4 linked regions of the Oreochromis niloticus genome follow. The protein of the gene in region 3 purifies or fractionates together with the protein of the main gene of each other region. This does not show direct contact. Links are inferred from orthologs where the notes say so. Each region holds a gene or a part of one and is shown on either strand. Other genes may lie near its edges. The genes, in order: pagr1, paxip1, kmt2cb and ncoa6.

Region 1 (7,596 bases), on a different chromosome or scaffold from region 3:
GTCACAAAGCCTTTCAATTCAGTCAGACATCATAATACAAGCCAAACAAATAATCAGTCTGGTCTATAACCTGTGGTTACGTGTAGAGGGCGAGGAACCATCGTGTTCGGATTTCTTCTCCTCTTTATGCTTCTTCTTCTGTGGCTCAGTGCCAGACCCCCCTGTCTCTCGTTCCTCTCTGGACCGCTTCACTGAAGACGAAGGCAGATGGAAAATTAACAGTTTAGTATTCAGTGCACTGTAGCAACGGTGTCTGTGGGGGCTCTCTAGAGTGTAAAGCAACTCAGACAAAAATGGCACAGCATCAGTCAAAGTTGCATTGCAGTGCTTGAATTAAAGCCAACAGCAGCAGGTAAACATGAGGACCATCTTTGAGAGAATGCAGTAGGAAAGAGAACATCAGAACGGCAAAAATGCAAGTGGAGCACCAGTTTTACAAAAAAACAAAAATAAGCATCCATCTGACCCAAACTGCTGGGTCAGATGGATGCTTACTGTTAGCTGTTTACTGTTAGCCACCATCCTCTGGGATGTGACATGGGTGCCCCCTGTTGGCCTTTGGCTCAAATCGTGACAAGACTCTTCCTCTTTCCCAATAAAAATGCCTTTTTATACTTTAGTGTCCCATGACTGAAAAAAGTGGGTGCTTTTCTCACCCAGTTTCACTCACCTGGCAGCACAGGCACAGCCACAGTTTCACGGGTGAAGGGTTTGTTCACAATGAGCTTGGATTTGGCCGCAAAGTTGAGTGCACTGAAGGTGTCAAAATAATATTTGTACTCTGGTGCAATATTGGTGATCATGACGGAGTGTGCCGAGCCTCCCAGAGAGTCCTGCAGAAGCCGTGTCAGTTTACTGTCCCTGTACGGCACGCGCACCGAAGTGCCTGAGTTTAGAGAGTCCACAACTTTGCTGAGTGTGAAGAGAGACAGGTTGATGGCACCGCTCTCCTTCAGACGGATGCCCTGGTTGCCGGTGCGGCGGTTGTCCTCTGAGCCAGCCAAATCGACCAAGTACAGTTTGCCTGTCTGTTGTCTGTGGGGAAGTTGCTGCTGAGTCCGCACAACCTATGTCATTGCAGAGATTAAGAACAGAAAAGCAGCAGCGGCACAGAAGTCAGGCAAGAAAAACAAGGAGGTGGTGAAGAGTCATGGGGTGAAAGGAGAAGAAAAAGAAAAAAAAAAAAAAAAAAAAAAAAAAAAAAGAGGATTACATTTTATGAAAAAGCATGACAATAAAGGGAAAAAACAACGAATAAATGAAGAAAAAGGACAGCAGATAATGGTTTGTGTTTCTCTCCCATAGTAATCCCAGGAAGCACAGAAGTTGCTAGTGGGACTGTTGCAAAAGAGAATTGATTTCAGCACCAGCTACCAAATCCTGGCCTACTGCTCAGAGACCACGACCTGCTTAAGATGCTGTCTGGCTGTCCATTTGACACTAACGAATAAAGTAGTTCAATAAACTACACCAAGACCATCAAACCTTAATGAGAAGGATAGCGTGGCTGCGGCTGGAACGCTGGTTTAGCTTAGTAGAAGCTGTAGTACGGTTGAGCGTCGCAGGGACAAAGTGTTTGTCAAAATCTGCGAAGTTGGTGATGTTCATATGTGTCAGGCCAGGGATAAGGATGTTCTTGTCTTTGTCCTCTCTGATGGGTAAATCATGGGAGTTTGGCGACAGAAGATCAAGCACCTGAGAGAACAAGAAAGGAAAGCGGTAATTGATGAATGATGCACACTAAAAGAAAAAAGGTACATTTAAAGGTTCAGAGGACATGCTGTGGAAAATGCAGTTAGAAGCTTTTGCAGTAAATTCAAGAAGACTGGAGGTTAAAAAGCTATGTGCACCCCCCTTGTTTTATTAAATCATGCTGAGGGCCAGTGATCTGAAACTGAATGGGTAGGCTGAAGATGTTTTCACACATGAAATTTTAGGTAAACCAATTCAGATATTTTCCACATTTGTTCATTTTGACATGTAGCGCAACAGGAAATAAGTCTGCTTCAAAAGGTTTCATACTACCGAGATGTAGTGGATGGTGTCTACAAAAGGGAACTGCATGAATATAGCAGGTAAGAGCTGTCCAATCTGACACTGTTTTTTTTATTAGAGAGCTGGCAGGTTAAAGGCTGGCTAACATCCCATCCGACTGCGTCAGATATCTGCATTCTCACATACAGCTCTGCTGGGTGGGGCCAAGACTACCCTGCATGTGCCAAAACATCTTAGTTTGGACTACACCATCTGCATAATAATATTGTTGGCTTAAATTTGCAGAATTAAGGGAGTCAGTTTTTGGTCAATATAAAATCTTCTATGGGTATTAATAGAATTTCTAGAGAATTATCCATTAGAAACGGAAATATTTCCACTTTTAAAATGAACATAAAGGCAGTTTTATTTTCAATACAGGGTTTTAATCAGGTATTAAAGATTGACCACACTACAAGTTTCACTTGCTAAAGTGACATAACAGGGAAATTCATAGAGTTCTGTCAATTAAGGTAACCAAGATTCAATACCTCGGCTGTTTGGAGACATTTGAGGCTATTTTACAACCTTTGGAACAAGTAAGTACCAAAAGTTCATTTGATCCATTTAAATCTAGAAAAAAACAAAAACACAACAACCACGAATCCCCCCCCGCGCTCTATAATGCTAAAAAACGCAGAAACACACTTCTTAAAAGTAAAGACAATGTTTTCTAACACCTCAACTTGAACGACCACCATCTAGATTACTTTACTTAATCATGAACAGAAAGTCACAAGTAATTGTACGCTGTGTCTACTTAAACAACCATACCTTCTCATTGTAAATTTCCAAATACGACATGCCAATGCTGTAGTCCCATCCATCACTCTCATCCTTGGCTTTCACTAGCTTGAAGACCTCACGAACAGCTCGGGGAATCACACCCGGCTGCTCTGAACTCCCCAGCATAGTGTGGGTCTTACCTGTGAAAGAGGATGCAAAAGCCTAGAGTTAGAAAATGGTCTCTTTGGGGAGCCAAAATATCTATAAACAAAATGAGAAAAATCATTGTGACCTCTCTCAAGTCTTAACAGCTTAATTTATAAATGCATGTGCACAGCTAATATACACGTTTCTTGAAACCCTGTAGACTGTGCTTCAACATACCAGCTCCTGTTGGTCCATAAGCAAACACACTGGCATTCTGTCCGTTCAAGATGTGCGGCAGAATGGGCTTCACTGATGAGAGGAAAACTTCTTGCTGTGTCGTTTGTTCACCATGAAAAACGTCGAAGCTAAAAACAACAACAACCACAGCTCTCTTAATATTTACAGCTAGACAATCACTGAAATCTTTACCGACATACATATATACATAACAGATTATTATGAAGGCACTGACTGGTATTTAACAGTTTCTGTGGCGTTCCTCCAGTTGATTATCTCCAGGTTTTGAGAGTCCAGGCCTCTTACACACGGTCCCTCGCTTTTCTCGTCTTCTTTGTTCATATAGGGTCGCAGACGAACAGCTACGCGGACCCTGGATGTCTTCTTGTTTCCTCCATCTGATACCGCCACACGCGTCGCCATTATTGCGCTTCCACAAAGAAAGGCCCGAATAAAGTACAAAAAAAATACAAATAAGCTAACTAGTTAGCCACGAACGTGCTTGAAAAAGACAGTTTGTTTATAACAGCACTGCATGAAAACGCATGCCACTCAAATGAAACCTCTCCCGATAAGCTGTGTTTTCCTTACTGACGAAAGCCTCTCTCGGCTAATAACAAGCTAAAGCTGGATAGCTCAGTCATAACTTCCCTCGCGAACGGATGCTTCTCGCCTGGCTAATAATAGTCCCAAAGCCAAAGCCTGCTATATGCTTACCGATATTATGTGAGAATGTCCGAGACAAGCCACACCTTTGTTATGCCCTAAATTGTCCTTCCAGCAACATTTCGGACGCTTGGTTTTAACAATGGCGACCGCGTCCCTTAAAAACTTGAGGAACTAACCGAACACTTTTTCAAATGCAGAGCGCAGAAACCGGAAACGGCCGTAAACCAATCAGAACTCGCACAAATACTGGCGCCTGTTTTACGTCATGCGTCCATATTAATGAGATTTGTGGCTCTTCTGATTACATTTGTCAAGTTTACGCTACACAAACGTACATATACGCACGCTTTAAAAACAACAAGAACAACATGAACAGAAAAGCAAAGGACGCTAATACAAATTTCGCCCTGTCTGCCCTAAGACCTGCTCGCGCTTGCGCAGTGTGCAGGAAGTCGCGTCGAGCGTAGATCTCCAAACCATTCCCCTCTACTGCTGGAGTGTCCGCTCGTAGTGAGTGTGGATTATCCACATGACGTTGTATCAACAGTGAGGTGAAGCTCCCCCCGCCCCAGCGGTGCAGAGGCTCAGGCAGATCCCTACAGCCAAAATGGCGCTATGTTTACGTCTGTGCATAAGCGTTTGTTATACTTAGTGACTCTCATGGGGAGTTTTTACTGGAAAAGTATTTGACTCAACGTTTTAATCGCTTTCACAGCAGCACTGATCCGGAAGAAGCCGTTAATGACGATTTAAGGCACGTATGTTATTAGCAGACTAACTACTGTTTAAGAAATAGCTGGCGGTTAGGCCTGACGTTAGCTAGCCGCTTGTTTTAGTTGACTATACGTTCACTTATCCTTTAACAAAAGTAAACAGCTACGGCTAAAAGTTATAGCCTCTAAAAAATCCTCTTATCCCACACACTTGTGTATACCTTAAGTTAGTTTCAGCTGCACTAAAATGTTTTCTAGATCTAAATGGCAGGCTTCTGTTCAGCAGATCTGTTGCGAGAAACTTCACCAGCAGGAAGCATGCAAGCTGAGGCCACAGACACCTCACTGAAAGAGGGCATAGAGGTTCTGAACATGAAGGACTCAGAGGAAGCTGCAGAGGGCAAAGAGGACGAGGACAGCACGGAGCAACCGGATACGGAGATGGCAGGGAGCGCAGAGGAGGACGACGCAACAGCCAAGGAGGATACAGGTACAGTACACGTGTAAAGATAGATGCATGCATGGCAGGTGTAGTGAAAGGACGCACAGTAGACAGGAAGTTTCATTATCAGGTTAAAAGTCTTCAGTGTGGACAAGCATGTCCTGTACAGGTAACTAGTGTGAGTAGGAAGTATCACCAAGGACAAATGCACAAGTGTCATGCAGGAGTGTGCAGGAAATACAAGGAAGCAAAGCACAGCTGAAACACGGTCAGTTATCTACCGGTTTATTAGTAGGTACTTACCTTGTCGGCTTCCTAAGTCTTTACATTTTAACAAATTGGCACAAAAGGCAAAATGAGTGAATATATCCACCCATTTTCTTAAATGCTTATTCACCCAGTGTCTGGCGTGGGTGTGGTGCTGGAGTTGGCATTGGTGTGGTACACCCTGAGCCAGTTCTTTGTATGAAAGTTAAAAAGAAAAAGCAAACAGACTGCTGGGACTAGATATAAGCTGTGAGCACCAGTGTTGTGTCCAAAAGTGATTTCTGATGTTTCTGTTTTTAACTGTAATGTATTTGCTCATATATATATATATATATATATATATATATATATATATATATATATATATATATGGTATATAGACTGTAGTCAACTGGATTTATGATGGGGATGTATATTTAAAGTACAGAAATTAAGTATCTTTTTGAGTCTGCGTCATTATACCTAGATTATCCAATCTAGAGCACTTTAAAAAGCAACATAGTCGTCCAAACTGTTTTCCAGGGTTAAAAGACGGCAATAAAATGCAAAAACCATCTATTGAACAAAACAAAAACAAAAAAACATTACAAAATATTAATATTATAATCAATCCAATTGTGAACTTTAAGAAAGTTGGAGGTCTTTTAATTAAAAAAAAATGTAAGTTAAAAAATAGTTTCTATGAAACTATTCAGTAAAGCCAGAATTGCTCAGTATCTGATTCAGCCTTCATTAGAAAAGTCTGTGTTGTTCTGTGCCCTGATGTACTTGATCACTTCAAGTCTTTTGGCTATTTTATCACTTGCAGCAGAGAATATATTACACACGAGAGAAATGTTGGCTCCTGCCATCAATAAATGTCACCACTGATTTCCAATAGTTTTGCTATTTGCACCCCGATGCCCATCAGTGGGTCTGATGTTGATGTTTTGTTGACATATCAGTCCGTCCCTACGTACAGCTTGTCACAGAGAAGTCAAAGCAGTGTGTTTGAAAGATGTTTAAATTGGACCTATTATGTATTGCTTTCTGTCATACATACAGTACTTTTAGCAGTGCTGATTGCTCCTATTAAACATGGCTAAACTTTCACATATTGAGGTCAGTGTATGTACAAGTAATCCCCTTCAAAAGTCCAGCCTACAATCTACACATGGATCTGTCAGTGGAAGCCAATATTCTTTATGTGGTCGCCTCACACATCAGCCACACGACCTGCTGTTCCGACCTTTTGAGGGGCAGCCAATCAAAACAAAAGCACGTAGCTCTAAACTAAGGGGGAGGAGCTACATCAAAGCCAGGTATAGGGTTAATCCACAATAAAATGTCGCTTCATTATTGTTTTTAAAAGAGATTTTAAACTGACTGTGTACGTGTTTTTTCTCAGATGGGAACACAGATGCAGTGGGAGGAAAGGCGCAGCAGGATGAATCTCAGGCAGACGCAGGGGTGGAGGCTGAAGATGGAAAACAGAAAGCCGAAGAGGCGGACGGTGACTGGGAGCTTCCGTACAGCGACGAGGAAATGGAGGACCCCAAAAACTGGGTGCCTCCTCCCGCAGAGATCAAAAGACTCTATGAGCTCCTCGCTAAAGGGGAGATGCTGGAATTGAACTTTGTGCCCCTTCCTAGAAGGCCCCCCACGCCTGAACAGACCTCCTCGCCCGAAAGAGACGAAGAGGAGGAGGCAGCCAAGGAACGGGAGAGGCAGGAGAGGGAACGCAAGTCAGTGTTGCTTTTCCTTTTGGTCATTTCAGGATTAAGGAGTTTGGTTTGAGTGCTTTTGGTTGTTAACCATGTTTTGTTTTTCAGGCCTCCAACTCCAACTGAGTTTGACTTTGATGAGGAGCAAATGCAAACCACTCCAAAAAATGCCTTCCTAAGCCGACGCAGGACTCCAGGTATGTCACAATCAATTATATGTGGTGTCTCTTTATAATCTGGAGGGTTTTTTTCTTTTATTAATAATGATTTTTGCCTGTTGTCTCCCAGGATCTTCTGCCCGCTCCTCTGTTAGAAGGGAAGCTCGGCTGGACAAAGTATTGTCAGACATGAAGCGACACCGCAAGATTGAGGAGCACATCATGCGCACAGGAAGAGATCTCTTCAAGAGTGACAAGAAGCTGGAGGAAGCCCTTTCTCCAAACAGCCAGAGGGAGCGGGAGAAGGAGAGGGAACGGGACAGCAACCCCAACACCATCTTCTCACCACGACAGAGGAGATACTGATGGTTTCTTTTGAGACAAAGACTTGCCCAAAGGCATTTAAAGCCAAGCATTTCCCAGAGGCTTTCTAAAAAACTTGAATTTTTTTTAATGTAACAAGTTTTGTATGTTTTATGTGTTTTGTATGATGGCAATAA
Region 2 (8,084 bases), about 16 Mb from region 3:
AAAGATTTGACACATTTCATTTATATCTTGATGCCTATTTTTATCACTGGAACTATTTCCACACATTCTGATCTTGGACATGATCCCTTAAGAGACAGCAGTGTCAGATCTGTTGCTGGCAGACCAAAAACCTTGCTGGTTTAGGGTGTAAATGTCAGCATATTATCGTGACTGTAAATATGTGCAAAAATATATTTGTTCAATGCAATCTTCAAGACTAAACCGCCATTAAAGCTAGAGCTGGGCGATAAAACGATAACGATATGTATTGCGAAATAACTTTTTCTCGATAGAAAAATTAAACTATTGCGATAGACCTCATCTCTCTTGTCCTCTTAAAAAAAAAAGAAAAGAACAGCCAATCCAAATTAAGTAGCGCAGAGCCGAACCAATCACAGCCGCAGCGTCACGTCACATGACTTGTTACGTACAGCACAAGCGCCAAGGCGCACATGTGTATTTGTTTTTGCAGCCGGGCCGCCCAGGTAATGAAGGAAATGAGTTTGCCGACTAGAGAAAAATCAACCGAGAGCGTGAGCGAAGGTTACCGAAGAAAAAACAGATGATAGTTCCAATGCTGGAGAGCTTGTCGAACGGAAGGGCCACAGAAGTTCCGTAGTGTGAAGGTATTTCGGCTATTTCAAGTCTGACAAAAAACAGAGTAGCGCGCACTGTAAATTGTGCCGAAAGCAAGTCTGGAAATACAATAAAGCGGTGCATGCTCAGTCTCTGACTGAAAGCGCTAATTCGTCATTCGGCTTTTGTCAGACTAAAGTAACTGTTAAAACTGTTTGAAAAGCTAAGCTGTACAACAAGGAGAGATTGATGCTACGTCCACACGTACCCGGGTATTTTTGAAAACGCAGATTTTTCTATGCGTTTGCACCTTTCGTCCACACGTAAACGGCGTTTTCAGTCACTGAAAACGGAGATTTCTAAAAACGCCTGCCAGGGTGGATATTTTCGAAAACTCCGTTTTTGCATTTACGTGTGGACAAGAAAAACGGAGAAAACGCAGCGTCAAAGGTGTGCGCCTTTTTTGACGTCACACTGTGCGCCACGTTATTGTTTGGGTGAAATGAATTTCTACAATACTGTTACTGTTAATTGTACTCTCTGCAGTGTTTAAATGCTTACATATACACACATAGTTACTGTCCCTCCACACATACGACTCGGTTCTGTTTCTATGCCCCATCTTTGTTTACTATTTCCTACCGAGGCTTCTAGACTTCTGATTGGCCAACATTTCTACACGGTTAGGAATATATCGCCACCTGTTGCTTTGGCATGTTCCTAGCAGTGTTTTCCTTCATTTCTGCGTTTACGTGTGGACGGGATTATTTTTTAAAACGAAAACGGAAAATCTCCGTTTTCAAAAATACCTGTGTACGTGTGGACGTAGCCTGAGAATTTCCTTTTAGTTCTCAGTTTATTTGATATTGACAAAAGTTAGTCAATTTTGTCTGTTCTTCTGTAAAACGACCTAAGATTTATTTTTAGAATTAAAATTTTGTTTCTAAGTGGAATCGACAATTTAGTGGTCTGTTTTGTTTGTTCTATTTTGAAACTTAAACGCTTTAGCGGCTGCCTTTTGTGTAGTTTACAATATTTGCCTTTATCTGAAACTGAAGTCTCATGTTCCTTAAGTACATCTACCCTGTTGAACTTATTATGGGAAATAAATATTTTAATTAAAACAAGCTGCTAATTATTTCACATTTTACTTGTGAGCAACGGCACATTTAAATCTTACAAATATAGTTATTTGGCTTATATCGTGATATATATCGTTATCGCCTGAAATGAAAAAAACATATCGTGATATGAAAAAATCTTATATCGCCCAGCTCTAATTAAAGCCCCTTCGCACTGGCTGAAAATTGGTCTGTCACATCCCTTAACATGGACTGCATGAAGCACTAACAACCGATCATTTAAGAAATGAAAAAGATGAGAAGCCCTGTGCTCCACCCAAATCTAGTGTTAATATTAACATGTTTGATAATAATATTACAATTATTACCTGTGTGCCATAATAAACAAAGACGGAGCTGGTTACTGTAATTTTTCAGTGAATGATACTGATATAAGAAAAACTGAAATACTTTTTTTGATAAATTTTTTATCTCTCCTACCGTGCACAACTTCATTCTAAAGGAAGACACGGCACTGTCCACCACACCTCTCTGCTCTGAATAAGTGTAACTGAGCCTTTAACCGCAGCCAGACTTCAACACGACCCACTAGATTTTAGAATGTGAGGTTTTGCTTGGAGCAATCCCAATAAGACATCAATCCATGAGAAGACCGTAAAAGATAATTGTATTGTTTGTTCTCGGTGCAGATTCAAAGCGTCTGGATAGTGCCATTTGACAGGAAGGACAGCTCTTTACCACAGGTGTTCAGTACCAACGAGTGGAATTGCGGACACATGCGCAGTAATGGGCGAATAACAGAGGAAGATGCTGACAGTCATAGGTTGATGAAAAGTAACACAATACACTGGCAGTGCAGCGTTTCACTGCTTATCAAAAGTGCCAAGCAATATTACTGAGGCTAATCGTTTAGAAAAAAAATGCTAACAAGCGGCAACAGCAAGCCTGAGCCTCACAAACCGCAAGCTAGAAGCTAGCAGCTAACATGCAAAACTCGCAGCTAGTGCTAAAGGGCTGCGTGAAAGTGCAGTTTGAAGGAGCTTCTGCACAAAGTATTCAGTGAGCGAGCGTCACTTGAAAGTCTCAAGCACCGTTACGTGGGCTCACAGAGGTCAGCTAAAGACAGCTCAAATACTTAGCTACTACTTAGCTTCTCTTGCATCACCTGCTTTACAGTCAATGACTCTAGCTAGTTAGCACAGGCTACCAACTTGGCTAAAGCTGCTAACGTCCAGAACCTCACCTTTTGATCAATATCCCCAACCACGTAGAATTTGACATCTTTGAAAAGCTCATCGGAAACCTTGATCTCTTCTTCAGACATGACTGGCCATGAAGGTCGCGGCACTGTATGATTCAAAAACAGCCAGAAGCTCAAAGTGTAAAGTGCCTGCGCTGCAGCAGCTGATTACAGAACACCGGACACACACTAGCGCCAAATCGCTTAGCGCGCCTTGGACTGCAGCATTATGTGCTTGCTGAGGGGGGTCTGTCGCAAATCAACACTTCTGTATTCAGTCGCTTTGGTTTTTATATCTCTCTAAACATTGCATCGCTAAATGTAATTTATCGTAAATATTACTGGGGTAAAAGAACTCATATAACAGAATAACGGCGACGGGAATTTACAAATATGTTTTCAAATAGACACATAACCCCCCTGTGACGTAAAGGTTATTGTTTTGATCTAAACGTGAAACCAGATTATCTCAAACAGACTGAGCTGGGTTGACTTTAGGACAAATGCAATAGAATGCTTCGAAAAACGACAAACACACACACAAAAAAGCCTGACCGTGGAAAGCCGTTGAGAACCAAATAAAAGCATTCATTTCATCCTATATTTAATACTACCAACAGAATAAACTGTCATATCAAAAATATTGATATAAATATTGTGGCGAGCTCAGTCACGAAGGAGACAAAGGTGTATTTGGGAGCACCCGTTTATTTTATAACCGGCCCAGAACACTGCCGCTACCACCCTCCTCAGCGCGGCAACAACATAAACAACAAAAAAAGGCGCTCTCTCACCGGAAACACAGTGCCGAGAGAGCGGTCACTCGTCACCATAACAACATGACAACAAACACATAACTGTAATAACAGAACAAACCCCGAACAGCCCTGGCCTGCTACATAGCCCCCACCTAAGGGGTCAGTCGTCCCCAACAGCCCCATTACCCCACACAAAGTCCTGTAAGTGTCCGGGTGCCTTCTTCTGGCGCAAGTCACTCAGATCAGAACCTGGGGTGTCACCAGCATCCCCTGCCCCGGCGTCTGCCGGAGCGAGCGGTCGGTACGGTGAAAGCCTGTCCCGGTGCAACACCACCATGCGCCCGGGCCCGGCATGCGGATACGGTACACCACTTCCGTTAGCCGCTCCACGACCTCCGCCGGCCCTTGCCAGTGACTGCACAGTTTGGGGACACTCCTCTCTTGCGAACCGGGCAGTACACCCAAACCTTGTCGCCAGGCACAAAAGCCTCCCCCCGGCACTTGGTGTTGTAGGCCCTTTTCTGTCGTACTCCGGCGCTGGCCTGGGCCTGGCGGGTATAGTCGTGAACCACCTGCAGCCGCTCCCTCAGCCTCCTGTAGTAGTCCATCTCTGGCCCACCGTCAATCTCCGGCTCGGGGGGGACCCAAACACCAGATCCACAGGCGTCCGGAGCTCCCGCCCAAACATCAAAGCGGCAGGCGTGCACTGGCTGGACTCCTGAACCACAGTCCGATACGACCAAAGGACCAGGGGCAGATGTCGGTCCCAATCCCGCTGGTGGCGGCTGGTGAAAATGGCGAGCTGGGTAGCCAGTGTGCGGTTAAAACGCTCAACCAAGCCGTCGCTTTGCGGGTGGAGCGGTGTGGTTCTTGTCTTCTCCACCCCCAGCCACCGGCAAATCTCCCCGAACACCTTCGATTCGAAGTTGCGCCCCTGGTCACTGTGGAGCTCAGCCGGGACCCCAAAACGGGCGAACATCTCCTCCACCAGCCTCTCTGCCGTCGTCGTCGCACTCTGGTCCGGCACCGCGTAGGCCTCCGGCCACTTTGTGAAATAGTCCATCGCCACCAGCACGTACCGGTTCCCTGACTCCGTGACGGGGAAAGGCCCTAGGACGTCCACTCCCACTCGCTCCATCGGGGCCCCCACCAAGTACTGCTGAAGGGGGGCAGTGGAGCGTTGAGTGGGGCCCTTCTGCGCCGTGCAGGTGTCACAGCAGTGCACGTGAAGTTCCACATCCCGTCGACAGCCAGGCCAGTAGAACCGTCCCCTGAGGCGGCGGAGAGTTTTGGCGTTCCCATAGTGGCCTGCCCCCACCGAGCCGTGGACAAGCTCAAGCACCTGCCACCGCAGCGACTGAGGCACCAACAGCTGCAGGAGATCTCTGCCCTGACCGGGGGCCCGCCATCTCTGGTACAGGAGGCCGTCGTGGGTCTCCAGGTTGTTGTGCTGGGAGTAGTAGGCCTTCACCTCGGGCTCCTGACCCGACACCCCCATCCAGTCTGGGCGTTGCGCCGCCTCCAGCCAGGCCCCCACCTGACCCAACGTCGCGTCGGCCTCCTGCTCCCGCTTCAGCTGCTGCGTTGTCAGTGGGAGCCACCCCCTCCGCTGGCTGTGGCCTGAGCAGTAGCCACCCCCAGGGCCTCCTGAGCCCGCTCCTCCTGTCGCAGACAGTAGCGGCACTCAACGGCCATGCAGGGCCGTCTGGAGAGGGCATCAGCGTTGCCATGCTGCCGACCTGCCCGATGCTGGATCTCGAAGTCGTAGCCCTGAAGGACCTCCAGCCAGCGGGCCACCTGACCTTCTGGGTGTTTGAAGTTCAGGAGCCAGGTCAGAGATGCATGGTCAGTGCGCAGGAGGAACCGGCAACTGTGCAGTTATGGCCAGAAGTGCCGCACCGCTAGCACTACGGCCAGCAGCTCCCGCCGGGTCACGCAGTAGTTCCTCTCGGCTCGCCCCAGAGCACGGCTGAAGTATGCCACCACTCGTTCTCCGGCCTCGCCCTGCTGGGAAAGGACCGCCCCGACTCCTACATTGCTAGTGTCAGTGTCCACAATGAAAGGTTGCCGGGCGTCGGGGTAGGCCAGAACTGGGGCTCTGGTGAGGGCCTCCTTCAGCTGTGCAAAAGCCGCAGCACAGGCATCACCCCAGCCAAACGGCTGGCCCTTGTCAGTCAGGTGGTGGAGGGGGCTGGCTATCGTCGCGAACCCCTTGATGAACCGACGGCAGTAGGAGGCTAGGCCCAGGAAGCTCCGCAGTTCTTTGACGTTCGAGGGAGTCGGCCAGTCCCAGACCGCAGCCACCTTTGCGGAATCGGTGGCGATACTTTGAGCGCTGATCACATGGCCCAAGAACGTAGTCTCTCTCGCCAACAGCTGGCACTTCGCAGGGTTGAGCCGCAGCCCAGCTCAACGGATGGCGCTGAAGACCTCGCTCAGGTGAGACAGTGCACTGTCGAAGTCGCCACCGTGCACCAACAGGTCATCCAGGTACACAACACAGCGGCTACGAGGGATGTTCACGAGCACCCTCTCCATCAGCCTCTCAAACGTCGCTGGCGCATTGCAGAGCCCAAATGGCATGACCCTGAACTGCCACAGCCCCTGTCCAATGGTGAATGCAGTCTTAGGCCTTGCTTCGGGGGCTAGCTCCACCTGCCAGTAGCTGCTGCGTAGGTCGAGGGAGCTGAACCAGCTGGAGCCGGTAACGTAATCCAGGGCCTCGTCGATCCGTGGAAGCGGGTACGAGTCCTTCTCGGTGACTGCATTGAGACGGCGAAAATCCACGCAGAACCTCGGGCTGCCATCCTTCTTCCCCACCAGGACCACGGGTGCCGCCCATGGGCTGTTGGACGGCTCGATCACCCCAGCCGCAGCCATCTCATGGATCTTTTCCTGTGCCACCTGCCGTTTGGAGAGGGGCAGCCGGTGTGGGCGCAGACGGATGGGTTGAGCAGAGCCTGTGTCGATGGTGTGCTGGACCAGGCCCATCTGCCTGCAGTCTTTGTCACTGGCGGCACAGATGTCCACATTCTCGTCCAGGAGGCACCTCAACCGCTGGCACTGGTCAACGTTGAGACCTACGCTGCTGCGCTGCCACAGGTCACCAACAGCCTCGGTTGTCTCGGTCGAGGGAGATTTGTTGGGCTGAGAGGCCGGGGCTGAGGTGCGTAGAGATGACCCGGAGCCACCGGCACCCGAAATCTGCTGAGCGGCAGCCGCCCGACGCCTGTCTCGTCTGGCTCGGGTTCCCTCCGCTCGCTGCTTTTGACCGCACTGGAGGGCAAGAGTCTCTGTGCCAAGAGTGATATCCCGCTTTGCGGTGTTGACGCAGGCCCCCCAGCGGGTCAGCAGATCAAGGCCGATGATGCACTGGTCTTGAATGTCAGCAAGCCAGAAGTCGTGCACCAGCTCCAGGTCCTTCACTCGGACCCGCAACGGTTTCTTCCCCCGCATATCAGCCCTCTCACCCGTCACCGTCATCAGCTGGGTGTCGGTGGGCGACCAACCCTTCACCAATGGCCCGGACGTTCCAGGGAGCACGCCAGGTCGTATCAGGGAAATGGTGGACCCCGTGTCCACCAGGGCCTGGCATGGCAGGTCCTCAACACAGCAGCTCAGGTAGAGTCACTTGAGGTGCCCAACTCGGCCCACCACCGTGCATCGTCCTTGGAGGGGGGCAGGAAGCTGGAGCGGTGGTCCCCTCACTACACCGCTCCCTCCCTGTTTCCCTGAGGCTGCGTAGTCCTGGTCTTCGGGGCAGGTGCTGGGCAGTCACGCGCCACGTGGCCAGGCTCATCGCACTGGTAGCAGCGGTCGGTCGGTCGACGGGGACGCCTCCGGGGCACCGAGGGTTGCAACTGGCATATCTCGACGACCTCCCCTCCCCGTCGCAGTCTGCGACTCTGATTTGGGGGCAGTTTGGGGGGGCACCTGCTGGTTAGGTTGCGAGGTGAACACCAGCTCGGCCCTCTCAGCCTCAAGGAGCGCCTCACGGAGAATTTGAGGCATGGCCAGGCGGACGTGTTGACGTAGTCGCTCTGGAAAAAGTCCTCGCAGAAAAGCATGCAGGCTAAGCTCCTCACGGGCTGCTGCTGGGAACTCTGGGTAGCCACGACGAGCATGCAGCAACACGTCCGCTGCAAAGGTGCCCAGGCTCTCCCCCGGCCGACGGCTCCGGTTGGTCAGCTGCTCTCTGCTCTGATCAGTGGAGTGCCGCTGCCCGAATCGCCTCTCGAGTGCTATGGTGAGGGTCTAGAGCTCATGCTGCTCTGACGGGGCTAGGTCAAGGAGTACCTGCAGTGCATCTCCTTCCAATGCTAGCGCTAAGTGTGTAGCAGCCTCTTCGTCGCTCCAGCCATTATGCCTCGCGGCTAGCCATACTTGTGAGAGGTAGGGCTCTAGCGGGGTTAGCCCGTTGTATTTCGG
Region 3 (8,265 bases):
AATAATAAAAGCAAACTCATTCCAAACTGCAGACCCATAGTCCTTTGGTCAGTAAAGCATAAAATTGTGTCTCATCAATCCCCATTATGTGCAGTAACAGCACTCCACATCTATATAATAATGTCCATGAGGATACATGCAGTTCCAGATTTAATACATGCGATCATAATAAACTGTGCTACATTAAACCTTTTTAAATTCAGTGCCATCCATGCACTAAACACCGCAGACAGTGTGGTCAGAAATGGCTTAAATTATTAGTTAGGCTTTTTCAGTGACTCAGAAGAGATCTCACTTTGACAAACACCACCTTTCGCTGCTAGTCTGTGGCAATTCAACATCTTTCTATCAATTATATTGATTTCAACAGCCTTTAAGACGTCGTCCAACACCAAAACTGAACACAAAATACAAACCCTCTATAATAATGTTGAGACTGCACAAACCCCAAGTTAGGAATGTTACCTCTGAGATAAAAAACCTGAAGACATTGTCTCTTTAAACACTGTAGGATCCGATAAGAAGTCGTCGGATAAGGAGCATTTTTGTACAACAAGCAAAGGCTCAAAGGTGACGAGAACTTTACTTGGGGCATCTGAGGTTAAGATCCGGTAACTACAAGGCAGTCACGACCACCACGGGAGCAGCTGAAAACATGCTAACGTTAGCTTTTGTTGACCGAAGCTTGGGCACAAAGCAGCTGCATCCAGCTAACGACTGCTAGCTTGTTGTGCTCAACTCTGTCGCCTTTTCTTCGTCGACCACAGACAAAAGTAACGTTGACGTCGACTAAATTTAACAGAAATTGGAAAAATAAACGAAGCCATTTATCATTGTTAACAACCGAAAGAGGACTGTACTTGGCTTTAGAGCCATTATCCCGTAAGACAACTTTGAAAGAGAGGGCCATCTATAGCAAACAGGTTACCTATGGTTGCAGTTAGTTGTCCAACTCATACTTGCAACTAACGCCTACGCCAAAACAGTGAAAAACGCTTCACCTCTTTGTTTTCCCAATCCTAGTGTTAAACATGTCCATGGCTCATAGAAAACTTGTCGAGCGACCTTAAAAAACACTACCCCTCCTAATAGCCAGCTTCAAACCGGGTGCAAGGCAAAGGGGAGCATTTGAGCCCAACACACACACACAAAGGCTCGGTCTATTCAATGAAACGGAACTATTCTAGGGAACTACAATGATGCACAAAAAGTGAAAACGATACGTTACACAACCACCCAGGTTCTGGTTTCTTTCTCTTTTAGCTTCCAACTAACGATAGCCGTGTGTTTTCGCACTGAATAGTGCAGTAAATGCGTTAATATTTGCTTATATGGCACCCATGAAATGTTCAATTGAATGTTCCGTTCCGTTGAATAGTCTGAGTCATGAAAGCCAAGGCGGCGACAAACCCCCAACATCAGACTGGAGAAGGATAAGGTTGGCTCAGCCTTACGTGAAAAGGTAAATTCCCAACAAACTCAGCTTACATTGAAGGAAAAGGCCAAAGAGGCAAATATAGCTTACCTTCCAGCCCTATGAATAGAGAGTTATCCTCTTCATGTCCAAAATAAGGGGGATGAAACGTCGCACTTATCACCCAGCTAGCTAGCAAGCTAATGGAGCTAGCTAGCCTCTCTCCAATGAAGCAACACCGCAGTTCTCAAAAATGCACAACGCATATCATTATATTCCAGCGCTGCAATGTTATTCCCAACTTTGCCCATTTGATGGAGAAGCGGATGATGTAAATCCAACAGAAAACCGCTTCATTGGCACACGCATCTGCGGGGATCACTTTCCTTTCTCCAATGACAGCTGTCGTCGCACGAGTTCGGCTTATATAGCTAGTTGGTGTTAGCCACCCAAGTCGACAGCCAATAATTTTACCATTAACGTGTAAACATAACGACCTCGAAATCCAAGCGGCTGCTAAAGTCAATGCTCCGTGAGCCAAACTTTAAGTAGGAATCCTCGGGTAAAGTGTAGCGACCCGCAAAGCAACAGAAAAAAAAAAGCTGGATGCCGACCGCTGGGGGTTGGCAACTGGTTCTATTTTCTTCAGCTGCGACAAGCTGCGGGACCAAGCGGCCAGTTTAGGAGAGACTCACAGTCATCCTGCCACGCAGTAACAACCGCCTCCAAAAGACATGTAAAAACAAACATTAGCTTGCCAAAAACAACATCTCGCCTGCCGCGCTGACCGAGCTGCAAAATGATTATGAAATAGCACAAAATTAAGTTGAAGATGACGCTTCGGGGCGCTCTGTAACGGTGGCCATATCTAATGATAAGTGGCACCGAAGCACAGCCCCCCCTCTCCAGGCTCCTCAAAAACTAGATCCGCCTCCTCCTCCCCCCGAACAGCACAACTACGGGCACAAATCTTTCAGAATCGACGGGGCTCGCCGAGAAAGGGATGTTTCGCGAGTGTGAGGCGTGTTTAAAAAGACCGATTAGAAGACGCAACGAGAAATAGCAGATAAACCGTTTTACAATTTCTTCAAAATACTCTCTGACCCTGCGGAGGGATATAAGCATTTAGTAAATAAAATAATGGCTAGGGAGGGCCCGAAAAGATGGAGCCTGGAGTTTTTTCCGTTTTGGAGTTGGAGCTGTTAGAAACCATTGGTGCTTGAGCTCATGCAAATCTTTGCCAGCTGTAGCTATAGAGAATCCAACAGTCGGAAGGCTTCCTCATAGCCGGGGGAAAATACACAAAAAATGGATTAACTTTAATACGCCATGGAGCTGGTGGTTTAGGCTGAATGCGAATGTACCTCAGCTGCTCCCATACGACGGCGTCTCTACTCCTGCTTTACACCCCCTACACACACACATACACACGCCCAGTATACAGATTTAAGCGTTGCATTATGTGTTAGATAAAGGTACTCAACAAACCGGCCGACCCACCGTACATTCAGGGGTTAACTTTCGGAAAAGACCCCAGGGGTCGGCTTTCAGCGGCTGTAGATAATATGTAATAGAGGCAGAGAATGTTGTGTCTCTGGTTAGATTTTGCTTTCGATTTTAAGGCTCACTTAACTACAACTTACCAGAGTTTCTTCGAGTGAAGCCCCTCAGAAAATTAACTGGAAATAAACGCAGCCCTATTCCTTTAAATGGTAAACCTTGGCACCTCCTTCCTAAACTGAGAGCTCCCCCTGCTGGCTAATCTAAAGTGTTTATTATTATTGTTATTGTTATTATTATTATCATTATTATTATTATGATTATTATTATTGTTGGTAGCAATCATTTCGACATAGTTCAAATAAATCGCGCATTAAAAAATGTGGCAAATGAAAGCAAGCACTCGGAAAATCAGAGAAATATAATGACTGTAGAGGCTTTTAAGGTGTGTATAAGGCAGATATGTGCAGTTGTATTTGCAGTAATTAACTCTTAACTCCACTGATCATCAGTGGGAGTATCTGCATGTTAGACAAGCCACCATCACTGGTATCAACACACCAAATGAGGGAGTGTGCTTTGTAAGAATGGTTTTCGTCCTTACAGTAGAATTACAGAGACAATGCAAAGCAGCACAGAAACTGTTTTCCAGGGCTTCTCCTTTACATAATCACTCATTAGTTTGTTTACTCTCAATAGTGAGCTCTGGGCTACAGAGTCAGAAATCTAGAATAATTTGTCTAACAGCACAATAGAGGTTGTGTATTATAATCCGTGTGTGTTATCACATATGCAAGAGACAGCCAAACAGGCAACCTAAAAGCATGGAATCTGATAATGCTAACAATACATCAAGCAAATATAAACGAGAACAAAGGGCAGGGAGGACTAACCTGAACATCTACAATACAGGCAAAATACAAATGGGAAGTTAGATGTGATGTGCATTTAAGATAGGTGATAGGTTTGTAGTGGTCAATATATGGACATATGGACATTGAGAAGCCCTGCCTTCAAATACAGTCTGAATTTCCAAGCACTGAAATGATCACTCTGAAGAATATGCTAGTTTTAATGATGTGATGCGTCATTTTTAAATGTGCCATTAACTCATTTATAATAAAGTTTTTGTCTGTTGATCCATTGAGTAGGATGGACCTTTGGCTGCAGGATAGGGAAAAAAAGAAGCAGTTGCCAGTCAGATGCTTTCCAGATGGTACTGCACAGTGGATCAAAATCCGATGGCACTTTTATTCATTATTCTAACAACTTTTACAGGAGCCCCTGCACCCCTGGCTGAAATTCAGGCTCCTTGTTATACAGTTGGCTGTAGACACTCACTGTTGTACCTCTCTCCTGATCTCCTCCATATATATTTGATGATAATTTGAGTCAGAAATGTTTAATTTGCTTTTATCACTCTGTTGCCACTGATTTAAGTCCAGTTCTTGTGTAATTTTGCATACCCTGTTCTTCTCTCCCTGTTCCTTAACAACTACCCTTCAATTTCTGAGGCTTCAGTGAATAGATAGATGCATCTCTCAGGCCCTGTGTCAGGTCTATGCTGGATTTGTCCTCGTTTCTTAACAATATGAATTTCAGATACTGTTTTTCTGCTGTAGAGTTTGTTTGTTTGTTTTAGGTCTGCCACTTCTTCTTCTGTCCTCGTCTTGTTCTTTTTCCTCAAATTTTTTGAAGAACACACTGCACACCATACAGACATATCCCAACCCTTTGGCAAGTCGTCTTTGAGGATTTTGCTTAATTCAACAAAAGTAATAAACAAAATATGTGTTTTTATGTCAGGCTGCTAGGAACAAAGTGTTGAAAGATACAATTTATAATGACTCTTTGGAAAGTTAACATTCAACCCTTGAGTTAGATGCCTTTTTTTTTTACACTTGAATGATTCATAGGTGAGTTTTAAGTGCTGTAACAAACAATAACATTGTTCTGGGCTGGAAGTGAGTGAAAACATTGACTGACCTTCAGAAAATTTACAAGAAAGTTTTGCTCCTTGGAAGTAAAACAAAGAAATGATGGGTTTCTCATGACCTTTTGCTTATACACATATATTTATTCAGGACTGCACAGTGGCAGGGTGTTAGTTCAGGGTTTATCTCCATCTTTCTGTGTGGAGTTTGGATGTTCTCCCTGCATTTTTGTAGGTTCTCACCAGGTAATCTGGCTTCCTCCCACAGTCCAAAAATATGCAGTTAGTGGAATTAGGTTAATTGGTGATTCTAAATTGCCCATAGATGTGAGTGGGAATGGTTGTCTGTGTCTTTGTGTTAGCCCTGTGATAAACTCGTGACCTATACCAGGTGTACCCTGCCTCTATGGTAGCTGGGACAGGCTCCAGCCCCCTCCAACCCTGAATTGAATAAATGGAAGAAAATGGACTGATGGAAGTGTATGTTTTCAGCTTTAATTCACAGGGTTTAACAAACCTTTTGCATTAACTGGTTAGGAATTAGAGACATTTTTATATGTAGTTCTTCATTTTCAAAAGGCTCAAAAGTAATTGGACAAACTAACATAATTTTAAGTATAAGAAAAAAAATCATTTTATTTAATAAGTCCCTGAGGTCCAGAACCCATGAAAATCACCAAATGTTGTGCTTCCTCCCATGAGATGCTAGAGCATAATCTTTCCTGCAGCTGCCTTCAGTTTCTGTGCGATTGTGGGTCTTTCTGCCTTTAGTTTTGTGACTGAAAAGCTGTTCTGAGATCAGGTGACGCACTTGGCCATTGAAGAAGATCGTATTTCTTTGCCTCAAGAAACTTTTTTTTTTTTTTTTTTTTTGCAGCATTCTTTGAGTGATTATGCATTTGCACTGTGAAGCATTGCCCACTCTTTTCCAGCATTTGGCTGACTCTGAGCAGTGAGTATAGCCCTGTGCATTTCACAATTCATCCTTCACAACTTAACCATCATCAATAAACACTAGTGACCCGGCTCCACTGGCAGGCATACATGGCCGTGCCCTAACATTTCCCCCAACACGTTTGACAGATGGGACACAAACGTGCTACACTTTGGATCATTTGAACTTTTCCTTTTCTTCTCCGTAATTACTGGGTACTACATGATCTTAGTTTCATCTGTTCAAAGAATTTGTAAGTTTTTTTCCAGAACTGGAAAGGTGTTGCTGAGACAGCTTAACTTGATATATATTGGACCAGGTTTTGTGAAGTCAAATTTCTGGTCAGCAGTATTTCCTGACAGCACGTAAGGATGAGACACGACACTCATCGGTATCGCTTTCTAAAATGTGACCTTTGTGTGGGTGTACGTTCACACCGTTAACCACCCATTGACCTAATTACCTTGAAAACACAAAGCTCCTGTTTAGCGTTGCATCGCTGATACTCCTGTTGGCCTAATTCCTTCATTTACAAACTCAACACTGACTGATCCACAGAGACTCAAGACTGTAATTACTAGAGCGACTCTGTACTTAATACTGATTTAAAACGACTGTTTTCGTATGCAATGAAAGCAATAATGACAGTAACATCATGTTTTATACTGGAAGTGAATTTAAATTTAAAGAGATCACACAGCTTTTGTCAAAAATCATCCTTCTGGCCAACATATAGCTTGACTCATTATACCACTAAAAGTACATGCATTTTTAGTATGACAAACACTGGCTATGTTTCAGTGTAACTGTGTGCCAGCGCAAACAAAAGCAGCACCCCCAAACCACTGATTTTTTTATTTACACCTGTGGTTATTTCTGCCACGTGTCAAAACCTCTTCCATAAAAATCCCTGATGTAATAAACAAGCAAGCCTTTCAGCTCTTTCAATGTCAAATAAAACACAAAAACCTCTTTAATATTTGTTGCTCTATACACACCAGCCACTTACACAGTGAGGAATCCTGCTTTACCACCATATGAGATATATAAACTATTCTTTAAGATTTAACAAGCATGTAATTTAATTTGCAAAGCTTAGACATGGTGGAAATGCTCCAAAAAGCTCATTAGTGTGGGATAAAGAAGTATTTTGGTATGTTGCAGACAGAGGGCAGCATGGCTCTACTGTTTCACACAACACTGGAAACAGGAACAGGATCAAATTGCTCTCTGTAATTCAACATGAAAAATGCAACCTGTCTGTTTTATTTCTACCAATACAATATATTTTACATTTTCTTTTCTTTTTTTTGCTATTGTTTATCAATTTATTCAAATAGTACCTAGTTTATAGTGTTTAATAAGGAGCATCCTGCCTATTAATGTAAAGTAATATTAGTAAAAAGAGATAATTAAATGTGCTCAAAGACAAACATTTGTGTGCAGTCTTCATAAAGATTTGTTTCTCGTCAGGTAACCGATGGCAAGGTGAAGCATTCAAACTCAGTTTGTCTTCATGCACATTTCCTCATCTTGCAATATAATTCAGTGTACATTTATGCTGTAGGTTTATATAATTATTAGCAGATAAATGTGCTTTAATACAATAAGTCACATCAGCAAAACAAAGCATAATTTCATGGCGAATGGATAAATGCTCAAGGAGCTCTTTTCTGGTTGTTGAGCTTAATTGGTGCCCTTTGGCTATCAGCATTAAGGACTAATTTTCAAGAGAATACTGTGACTGTAAGATAGAATAGGCTTTTTTTTAGGCTATTCAGCCATCACATTGCTAGCCTTGCAAGTCATCATTTGGGTATAAAGTGTTGCAGTGGATTTTTTTTATGTTGTTCCTGCAAAATAATTGCCTGTTTATGTTGGCTGCTGTTTTCAATATAGATGCTATACGTGCAGTTTACAGACCATTGCATGCAAACTGTTATGTGTCATGAGCTACCATGTAGGACAACCCGTATGTATATAAAACACACCATTACTGAGAAATATAGTTGACATAGACTCAGCAATATATATAAAAAAAACAAACAGGCCAACATTATCTGCGAAAATGTTTAAAAAGAAGCAGATCGTTATTTTTGCTGCTGCAACTAGAAAAAAACACTGCTGATAATATCAGTATTTCAGATAACAACCATCCTGCTTTTCAGTTTTATCCTGTATTTCTTTTAGGAGTCTTTTAGAAACAAAGCACCAGTGCTGCCTAAGGTAGAGCAGGAGGCAGCTGCAGAGTAAAAGGACAGACAGCTACCAGGTGAGCAGATGGATCATATTAATATAATAGAAGAGAGAAGAAACATGAAACCGAATGCTGGCTGAGCTCTTTCTCTGCAGAAGAACAGCTATTGTTGAATCGAACCCACAATAGTTCACTGCGCAGCTAGATACTTATTTCCTATAGCTGCACGCAGAACACATTTCAAAACCATAGTATGTAGTAAAAAAAAATTAGACTCAGCGTGAGTG
Region 4 (8,227 bases), on a different chromosome or scaffold from region 3:
CTTTTTCTCGATAGAAAAATTAAACTATTGCGATAGACCTCATCTCTCTTGTCCTCTTAAAAAAAAAAAGAAAAAAAGAACAGCCAATCCAAATTAAGTAGCTCAGAGCCGAACCAATCACAGCCACAGCGTCACGTCACGTGACTTGTTACGTGCAGCACAAGTGTCAAGGCGCACATGTGTATTTGTTTGGGAAGCAGCCAGCCGGGCTGCCTGGGTAATGGAGGAAATGAGTGTGCCGACTAGAGAAAAATCAACCGAGAGCGTGACCAAAGGTTACCAAAGAAAAAACCGATGATGGTTCCAATGCTGGAGAGCTTGTCGAACAGAATGGCCACAGAAGTTCCGTAGTGTGAAGGTATTTCGGCTATTTCAAGTCTGACAAAAAACAGAGTAGCCCGCACTGTAAATTGTGCCGAAAGCAAGTCTGGAAATACAATAAAGCGGTGCATGCTCAATCTCTGGCTGAAAGCGCTAATTCGTCATTCGGCTTTTGTCAGACTAAAGTAACTGTTAAAACTGTTTGAAAAGCTAAGCTATACAACAAGGAGAGATTGAGAATTTCCTTTTAGTTCTCAGTTTATTTGATATTGACAAAAGTTAGTCAATTTTGTCTGTTCTTCTGTAAAACAAACTAAGATTTATTTTCTAGAATTAAAATTTTGTTTCTAAGTGGAATTGACAATTTAGTAGTCTGTTTTGTTTGTTCTATTTTGAAACTTAAACGCTTTAGCGGCTGCCTTTTGTGTAGTTTGCAATATTTGCCTTTATTTATCTGAAACTGAAGTCTCATGTTCCTTAAGTACATCTACCCTGTTGAACTTATTATGGGAAATAAATATTTAAATTAAAACAAGCTGCTAATTATTTCACATTTTACTTGTGAGCAACGGCACATTTAAATCTTACAAATGTAGTTATTTGGCTTATATCGTGATATATATCGTTATCGCCTGAAATGAAAAAAACATATCGTGATATGAAAAAATCTTATATCACCCAGCTCTACAAGCAGCCTGTTGCAAAAACATCATTTGTTCCCATGCCTTTGAGGTGAAACAAAAAAGATGTGTCCTTAAAAAGGTGAGGTACAACAGAAATGACAGTCCTAAACTAAACTACATAATGCAAAAGAAGAGTACAATTCTTAAGGAAAAAAGGCAGAGGTATGCCAAATTACACATGAAATGGACCAAAAACCAGAGTGATGAACTTACAGAGTGATGAACTGAAATTTGAAAGTTCTGCAGAGCTCTGGAGCGCAACTGTGACCAATTTGGTCACACATGTGACCTAATTTCAAAATGGTGTGACTAAAAAAAACATCCTAGGTCGCACCGGTGCAACCAGCCATTCGAGTAAAAGAAAAAAAAGTCTCAGAGTGGTCAACAACAGACACACATTATGCCCAGATCGTGGTCTAAACCAATCACAGATAGTCAAGGGCAGGACCTCTCTGATTGCCCGTGGTCCCGATATTCCTGTAAGCTTACATGTGTGTACGTTTGAAAGTGCAGGCAGATAGAGAGAGGCAAGTAGCCTAGGCTGATAGAAGTGGATGTAGAAAAGATGAAAAGAACGACTGATAACTTTTTCGTTAAGTTAAGGCATGATCTGTCTGAAATTCATAGCCAGTGCTCTGACATGGAGCCATCAACATCTCAGGTTATGTCTAATACTGGTCCGGAGACAGCATCAGATAATGAGCCACATATGATCAACTCCGAGCCAGAGCCCACTGAAAGTTTCCTGGCTAAGATACAGTAAAGCTGACAACATGATGCACTGCATTTACTTTTGTGAGTGTGGAAAGACCATGGCCGGCAATACTGCATTTGTGACTGGTGCTAATACGTTTCGAATTGATCAAGAAGGCCAAATTACAGTAGTTGGCCATCTGAGGGGCATGTGACAGCAATGGAGCATAGTCCATAAGATATCAAGCTGTTCTTTTGTGCTTGTGCACCTAAGAAAAGAAGTTAGGTGCACCAGTGCAAGCGTGGCAAAAGGTTAGTCTGTGTCAAATGCCAGATAATGTATGAGAGAAGTCAGAGAGAGAAAAAGTACCCACAACCATCTGTAAAACACAGTGGAAACTCTGTCTTGGTTTGGGGCGACATTGGAGAAAAGCACCAGATTTTCATCCACTATACAGTAGCACGGTGGCATGATTGTTAGGCCTGTTCCATAGAACTATTCCTAAAGGCTACTTAAGGAAATGACTTGAATAAAAGAAAGCTTGCCTAAGAGTTTACGCTGTGTTCAAGAATAAAGATGGTCATATCAAATGTTGACTTTCAAGTTTGTTAGAATTGTACAAACTCTGCTTTTACCTCATATACTGTATATTTCCGCAAGTTTAACTAAATTTCTGCATCATTTTCCAAGCAAACTGAACAGAAATAAGTAGTGGCTCAAGACAATGGCACAGTACAGCAAGTATGTAAATGGCCATCACTGCAAATCATACGTTAACACACCTGTAATACAATGACGTCACTTTGACCGGTGATGGTGAACTTATTATCGAAGACATGTCAAATAACAGAAAATTGCTCTGTAAGAGGCAGGGTTATTTAAAGTGCAGCTTAATTTACATTACTGCCAATTAAAGTCTTACAACACATACATTTACTGCCATGAACCGTAACTTGCTTTACAACAACGGCCCAGCAGTAGCACGGGCCTTAGCGCAAACATAAGCTAACGTAAAGCGATCAAAATCCCCAGGGCGACCACATATTCCCCCTATCCTATGCTGCTGTGCATTTTCTTGCCCTCTTGAGAACACTTAATAGCCGAAAGTAACACGGTTTTCACCACACTATGAAAGAGGATAAATTAACGTCAAGGCTGTCCCCCCTGGCTTCTCCAGAGGCTCCAGTTCGCGATCGTTAGCTACGTTAGCTGGATAGCACAGAAGGTAATTCAGCATGAATGCATTGAAACGCAATGCATTAGCTTTCCAATTCGCTAAGTTTAGCTTACAACATATTATGATAAGTAAAATAGGCCTAAGAAAAGCAAAAGCCTTACCACATATATTCATCTGAAAATAAGTTGAAGCAGTCGGCATCTGCTTGCTAGATTAGCTAACAAAACATGAATCAAATACAGTGTAAATTTACAGCCAAGTTACAACTTCCGGCGATGATTTTCAAAATAAAAACCGAGGAAGTAACGTTTTTTGTAATAAAAGTAACTGAAGTAAATAAAAAAAAATTACATAATTCTAAAATTTTAATAATAACAATAATAATAATAATAATAATTATTATTATTATTATTTCATAATTCGTTTTTGTAAAATAGCAGCTGAATAATTTTAAAAGGTAGTGGGGTTGTCACATTGCTAGTTACTACCACTTTAGAAAGCATTATGGAATTCTGTCAGTATCACACATTTGACCTGACAGTCCATTTTGGAGTGGTCAGTTTGTGGGAAAAACACACAACTTTGAGTAGAGAAAGTATTTTGTAATTTTCACGGGTATGACTAATGTTTATTGTTGTTTTTGTATTAATAGATCACATAATATTAGTAATTAAAAACTAGACCCCATATACCATTTGCTACTGATTTTAAGTTCAGGTCTTGTGTAATTTGACATCCCTAAACATTTTCTCTCCATTTCCCTTCCTTAATGATTTCTTGACAGAAACACTGAAACCATTTGCAATGATGCTTCAGTAGATGTATTAACTGCAGGAATAGATGCATCTGTCAGGTCTTGTGTCAGCTCTTTAGTGGATTTCTTTTCTCTTTTTGTTAAGGACACGTCTTTGAGATACTCTTTATCTGGGGTACGTAGTTTTCTCAGCCTGGCACTTCTTCTGTCCTCCACTTGTCCAGTTTACTCAATTTATTTTAAGGATACACTCCACACACTCTGGGAATCACCTTGTTAAATGTGAAAATACAATTTTATGCCAATCAATCTGCTATATTTTGCATTTTTCATAGTCAGTTAAAGATACAATTAAAAATCCTTTGCTAAGGTTTTTGTTGTTTGAATGATTCACAGGTCAGTGTCAAATGATTTAACTGAGAAAAACAGATTCCTCAGAAAACTGTGAGTTAAAAAGATAGGAACGAAAATGTGTGGTAACGTTCAAAGAAAAACTTTGAAAAGTCTTCAAAAACCCTGGAGAACTACTGCTCAAGATCACTTTTTAAAAATTACAAAAAAAAAAAAAATCTGACAGAAATAGGTGGTGGCTCAAGTGTTTTGCTCAGTGTATGAAGGCTCAAAAAGAGATAAACAATCCTTAATGTTTAGGATGTGTGCAAACATTTTATTTGTTGGGTCTGAACAGTGCTGATTTTTGTTAAAATCAGCAAACATGAACAAACAAAGAAACAAAGAGGCAGGTGCAACATCAGACTGTGCAAATGTGTGCCTTAAGGCATGGTACTCTGCAGTACTGGAAACAAGCATCAACAGTCATATTGCACTGGTGAGGGAGAAAACAAGGTGAAAACCCCAATTTGATTAGTCAGCACTGGCCATTCTGGATGCAAAGATCAAACACATTTTGTGTTCAAGTGCAATGATTTACAAAAGTTGCTGGCTCCTGAAATATTCTAGCTAATATAACAACAAAAGTAGGCAAAAAGTAAACAGAACATCCCTTCCTAAATATGTGCCGAGTGAATGCAATGCTCCAACAGTAGAAATAATGTGTACAGCACAACAAATGTTCATATAAAAATAGTCATTACATTCATTCCATCTCTAAAGAATTTGATTAATCCAAATTTAGGAACAAGTGTACCAGCTCTAAAAAAAAAAGAAAAAAAGCCTTCACAGGTTCAAAGTGAGAACAAAATCATGCAACAACTCAAATGTCTTAAATTATGTATTTAAATACGTTCACTCTACAGTAACTGATATTTAAAACCTTTTAAACGGAATCATATCCACTTGATGAGGGAAATTGATTGAGATAGGACGGTCTCATCACATTTGTGTACGACATATAATGCGTTTGCTAGTCTTAAAAATGGTCCAGAGAGTCACTGTTTGTTTGCAACAGTTAAAGCTGCAGCAGCTGTACCAAACAACATCTAATCACAGTTACACACCATATAACGAGCAGGAGAGTAAAAGCTTTAGCCTCTGTGTTCAGTTCAGGACAGTCTTGTTCATGTGTGACAATACACGGCTTAATCACTGGTGTAAATACTATCACCTTCACCACTCCATTTGATCTCACACGCGATCTGGTTTAATGGTGAAATGTAGTGCAAGAGATGAAAAGCAATCCGGTGACTCATATGCACTTTGCACCATGCATGTGCTGTTTAAATGGTGACTTCATGGCATCATTACTTTTGTTAATTTACATAAAACCTCTCGCTCAGGTCTAAACTAGCTGCTACACCCAATAATTTCTAACCTTTAAAGATTACAGTTTTCACCACCGACCTGGAGTGTGTTGGATAATAAGTTATGAGCACACCTAACATTTCTTTACCCTGCTCTGCATAATGCAGGCTGCAGACTGATGCCACTAAGGGTAAGGGTACTGAACACACATTTTCAACACTATGTACACCGTGACTGGACGTTACATGAGGATGTGGTAGAGTAATTGATATGCAAGATGGTGACCATTTTAGTATTCTTGTGAGCAAAACAAATTAGCTATCCAGGATCCCTTTCAGAATCTTTTGGTTATCTTTATCTGATCAGCAGCCTCCTCACTCTCTCTTTAGGCGTCATACAGAGTAAGTCTTACTATCTTGGCATTATATGTTTGTACGATTGGACGGATGCACTAAGGCATATTGGACATAGTAAGGGCAGAGGCATCAGCACTACGGGGGTCCTTCACTCCAATGATGAGGTCATTAGTTCTCCGTGTGCCCTCCACCAATGACAAAATATCTCTTTTCTCAACTATGTGACCTTTGGCTTCCAGCCCCTCCACATCCTCTTCTAAAAACTTGGCTGCAAGAGAGAAAGAGAAAGTGTGAGACAGAAGATGGTACTAACATAATGTTGAGCTAATAAAAACAGTAGCTGTGGGATCACAGTGTGGTTAAACTCTAACTGTACAAGGACCTAGTATATCAGGTTTGTAACCAAGCATGTGTTTTCTGGCTTTTGACTTATGACACAGATTCAAGGGCAAGATTAAGACAAGGTAGAAGGCAGCAGAGGCTCTGATTGAGCCAATGATCATCACTCTGCTGCTCATCTACCAGTCAATAAGCTCTGGTAGCTAAGAGATGGACCATTAATTCAACCATATGATAATTCATGATTCTACATTAGGATACCTTTGGATTAATACCAATAGATTCAGGCTACCTAGATTAGCTGGACACATTTTTCTTTTGTACTTTAGTGAACTGATTGGAGCCAAATATTGGGGTTTTTTTCACAAATATTTTTAAAAAATTTTTGTAGATTAGTTGGATCTATCTAGAAGCTTTCAGTTAGTAGTTTACCCCTCTTGTTAATATCAACAGAGCCAGAGGACAATAAAGTGTATTTCTAATAAACCAGATAATTCATCTGTCTGTTTTTTGTAACACAGTATTCATCTTCACAATTTTCCCAGGCAATCATAGATGTAGAGCTGCCAAGCTTTCTTCTTTTCTAAGAGCCCATGCACTAAGTTGCTAGATTACATGGACAGCCAGCAGAAGGTGTGTACACTGTGGTCATAACAGTTACCAACAATACTTAGGTAAGCTGAGACATTTAAATGAGGCTTAATTCTTACTAAGTGGCCCAAAGTGTGGCGAGAAAATATCCACTACATCTTTACACCACCAGGACCAGATCCATGAATTCATGTTGCCAAAGTATGACTCTGTTGTCTAAATGCTGCAGCACAAATCAAGACTCATCAGACTCATCAGAGCAGGCAATGCTTTTCTTCTGTAGTCCAACAAATTTCCCACGTGTGGGACTAATAAAGGTTATCTTATCTTATCTTAGTATCTGTTAGTCTATGTATAACTAATAAAGTGGCTACTGATTCAATATTATTATTCATAAATCCTGGACGTAACACAAAATTCTCGTGGGATTTCCACATATGAAATTAAGATTTAGGGGGTGGGTGTGGCTCAGGTCGTCCACTGATTGGAAGGTTGGTGGTTTGATCACCGGCCAAGCTGCTCTCCATGGATCAGTCTGAGTGTGAGGGTGTGTGCAAATGCAAGACAAAGCGCTTTAAGGCATAGAATGAAAGCGCTGTGTATGTGTGTGTGACTGAAAGAATTAGGCGTGTAGTAAAAACCACTTTGAGTGCTCAGTTAGAGAAGTGCTATATAAGTACCAGTCCAGTCCATTTATGCTACATCCTACTAAAACTACAGAAGACTGATCTTTTAACTAAGACACTTTACTGTTCCATGGAAACACTAAACCTTGGCATCTGCTTTCCATGACAGCAGAAGTACCTGCTGCTTTTCCTGCTCCTCCTCTACTTTGCATAGTGTACACAGAGAACACAACCTGAAGACAAAATAAGCAGTGGTACAAGGGTCCTACATGTCTCTTTGCATGGTGTTTACTGCATGTCATAGCAGTAATCATGAACCAACACTGTTATGCTTGGATCAAACCTGATAAAAGTGTCTATCAGTAAGAAAAACTCACAGTCCACTAGGAGGGTGTTGGGCTCCAGCTGCGGGTGGAGTCTTCCATATGCTAAACTGTCACTCATGTTTTTACGTGAAGACAAAACATTCATCAGCACCTATGAAGGATGAGAATAACATCAAAGTAAACTTCTGTCAACGTGTATTTCCACACTGATGAAAATAACTACGATAGTTACAAATTCCTCCAGTAATTAAGCAACCTGTGTTATGCCACTGAGAGCCTTCTCTCCATTGGATGATCCAACAGCTACGTATGTGCCACATAACCCCACGGCTGGCCTCACTGCTGTGGGCATCAAGAAGGACATGGGTCTTTTCCCAGGGTGGAGGTTGTTATGCTACACCAACCAAAAGAAAACAACATCCATGAGAGATTCTGCAAATGTGTTAAGAACAAATACATTAACACTGAAACAAAAAAGTTGCAATTACTGGGTTAGGCGATGAGCCCTGTGTTTTATTAGTCCATGAGAAGTCCAGAATCTGACTATTCAAAAGGATTCCTGAAGGAGTCACTATCCCACTGCCAAAGGGTTTGTTTAACGAACTAAAACAGACAGAAGTCTTAATTTGCATTATTCATGAATTTTAATCAACTCTTAA

Evidence for each region.
Region 1: the proteins of kmt2cb (region 3) and pagr1 purify together in Homo sapiens (affinity purification with mass spectrometry; 3 studies listed by BioGRID and IntAct, with this or other methods). This does not show direct contact. The link is inferred for Oreochromis niloticus from reciprocal best matches to the Homo sapiens genes KMT2C and PAGR1.
Region 2: the proteins of kmt2cb (region 3) and paxip1 purify together in Homo sapiens (affinity purification with mass spectrometry; 4 studies listed by BioGRID and IntAct, with this or other methods). This does not show direct contact. The link is inferred for Oreochromis niloticus from reciprocal best matches to the Homo sapiens genes KMT2C and PAXIP1.
Region 4: the proteins of kmt2cb (region 3) and ncoa6 purify together in Homo sapiens (co-immunoprecipitation; 7 studies listed by BioGRID and IntAct, with this or other methods). This does not show direct contact. The link is inferred for Oreochromis niloticus from reciprocal best matches to the Homo sapiens genes KMT2C and NCOA6.

What each region holds. Positions count from the first base shown.
Region 1 is NC_031973.2:16,564,970-16,572,565, forward strand, and holds the start of pagr1 (PAXIP1-associated glutamate-rich protein 1), read left to right. Parts: upstream 1-4,331; 5' UTR 4,332-4,567; intron 4,568-4,812; 5' UTR 4,813-4,844; coding exon 4,845-5,016; intron 5,017-6,622; coding exon 6,623-6,959; intron 6,960-7,046; coding exon 7,047-7,135; intron 7,136-7,226; coding exon 7,227-7,462; 3' UTR 7,463-7,596. Other genes in the region: kinesin-like protein KIF22, read right to left, coding at 71-191, 671-1,067, 1,486-1,695, 2,809-2,960, 3,145-3,272, 3,380-3,567. UniProt on the Homo sapiens protein: Its association with the histone methyltransferase MLL2/MLL3 complex is suggesting a role in epigenetic transcriptional activation. However, in association with PAXIP1/PTIP is proposed to function at least in part independently of the MLL2/MLL3 complex.
Region 2 is NC_031982.2:752,134-760,217, forward strand, and holds the start of paxip1 (PAX-interacting protein 1), read right to left. Parts: upstream 3,109-8,084; 5' UTR 2,983-3,108; coding exon 2,902-2,982; intron 1-2,901.
Region 3 is NC_031982.2:16,677,638-16,685,902, reverse strand, and holds the start of kmt2cb (histone-lysine N-methyltransferase 2C), read right to left. Parts: upstream 3,078-8,265; 5' UTR 3,058-3,077; intron 2,305-3,057; exon of another isoform or gene 1,526-2,304; intron 1-1,525. UniProt on the Homo sapiens protein: Histone methyltransferase that catalyzes methyl group transfer from S-adenosyl-L-methionine to the epsilon-amino group of 'Lys-4' of histone H3 (H3K4).
Region 4 is NC_031984.2:16,681,357-16,689,583, forward strand, and holds the start of ncoa6 (nuclear receptor coactivator 6), read right to left. Parts: upstream 3,167-8,227; 5' UTR 3,037-3,166; intron 1-3,036. Other genes in the region: ggt7 (glutathione hydrolase 7), read right to left, coding at 5,782-5,954, 7,620-7,719, 7,825-7,962, 8,057-8,171. UniProt on the Homo sapiens protein: Nuclear receptor coactivator that directly binds nuclear receptors and stimulates the transcriptional activities in a hormone-dependent fashion. Coactivates expression in an agonist- and AF2-dependent manner.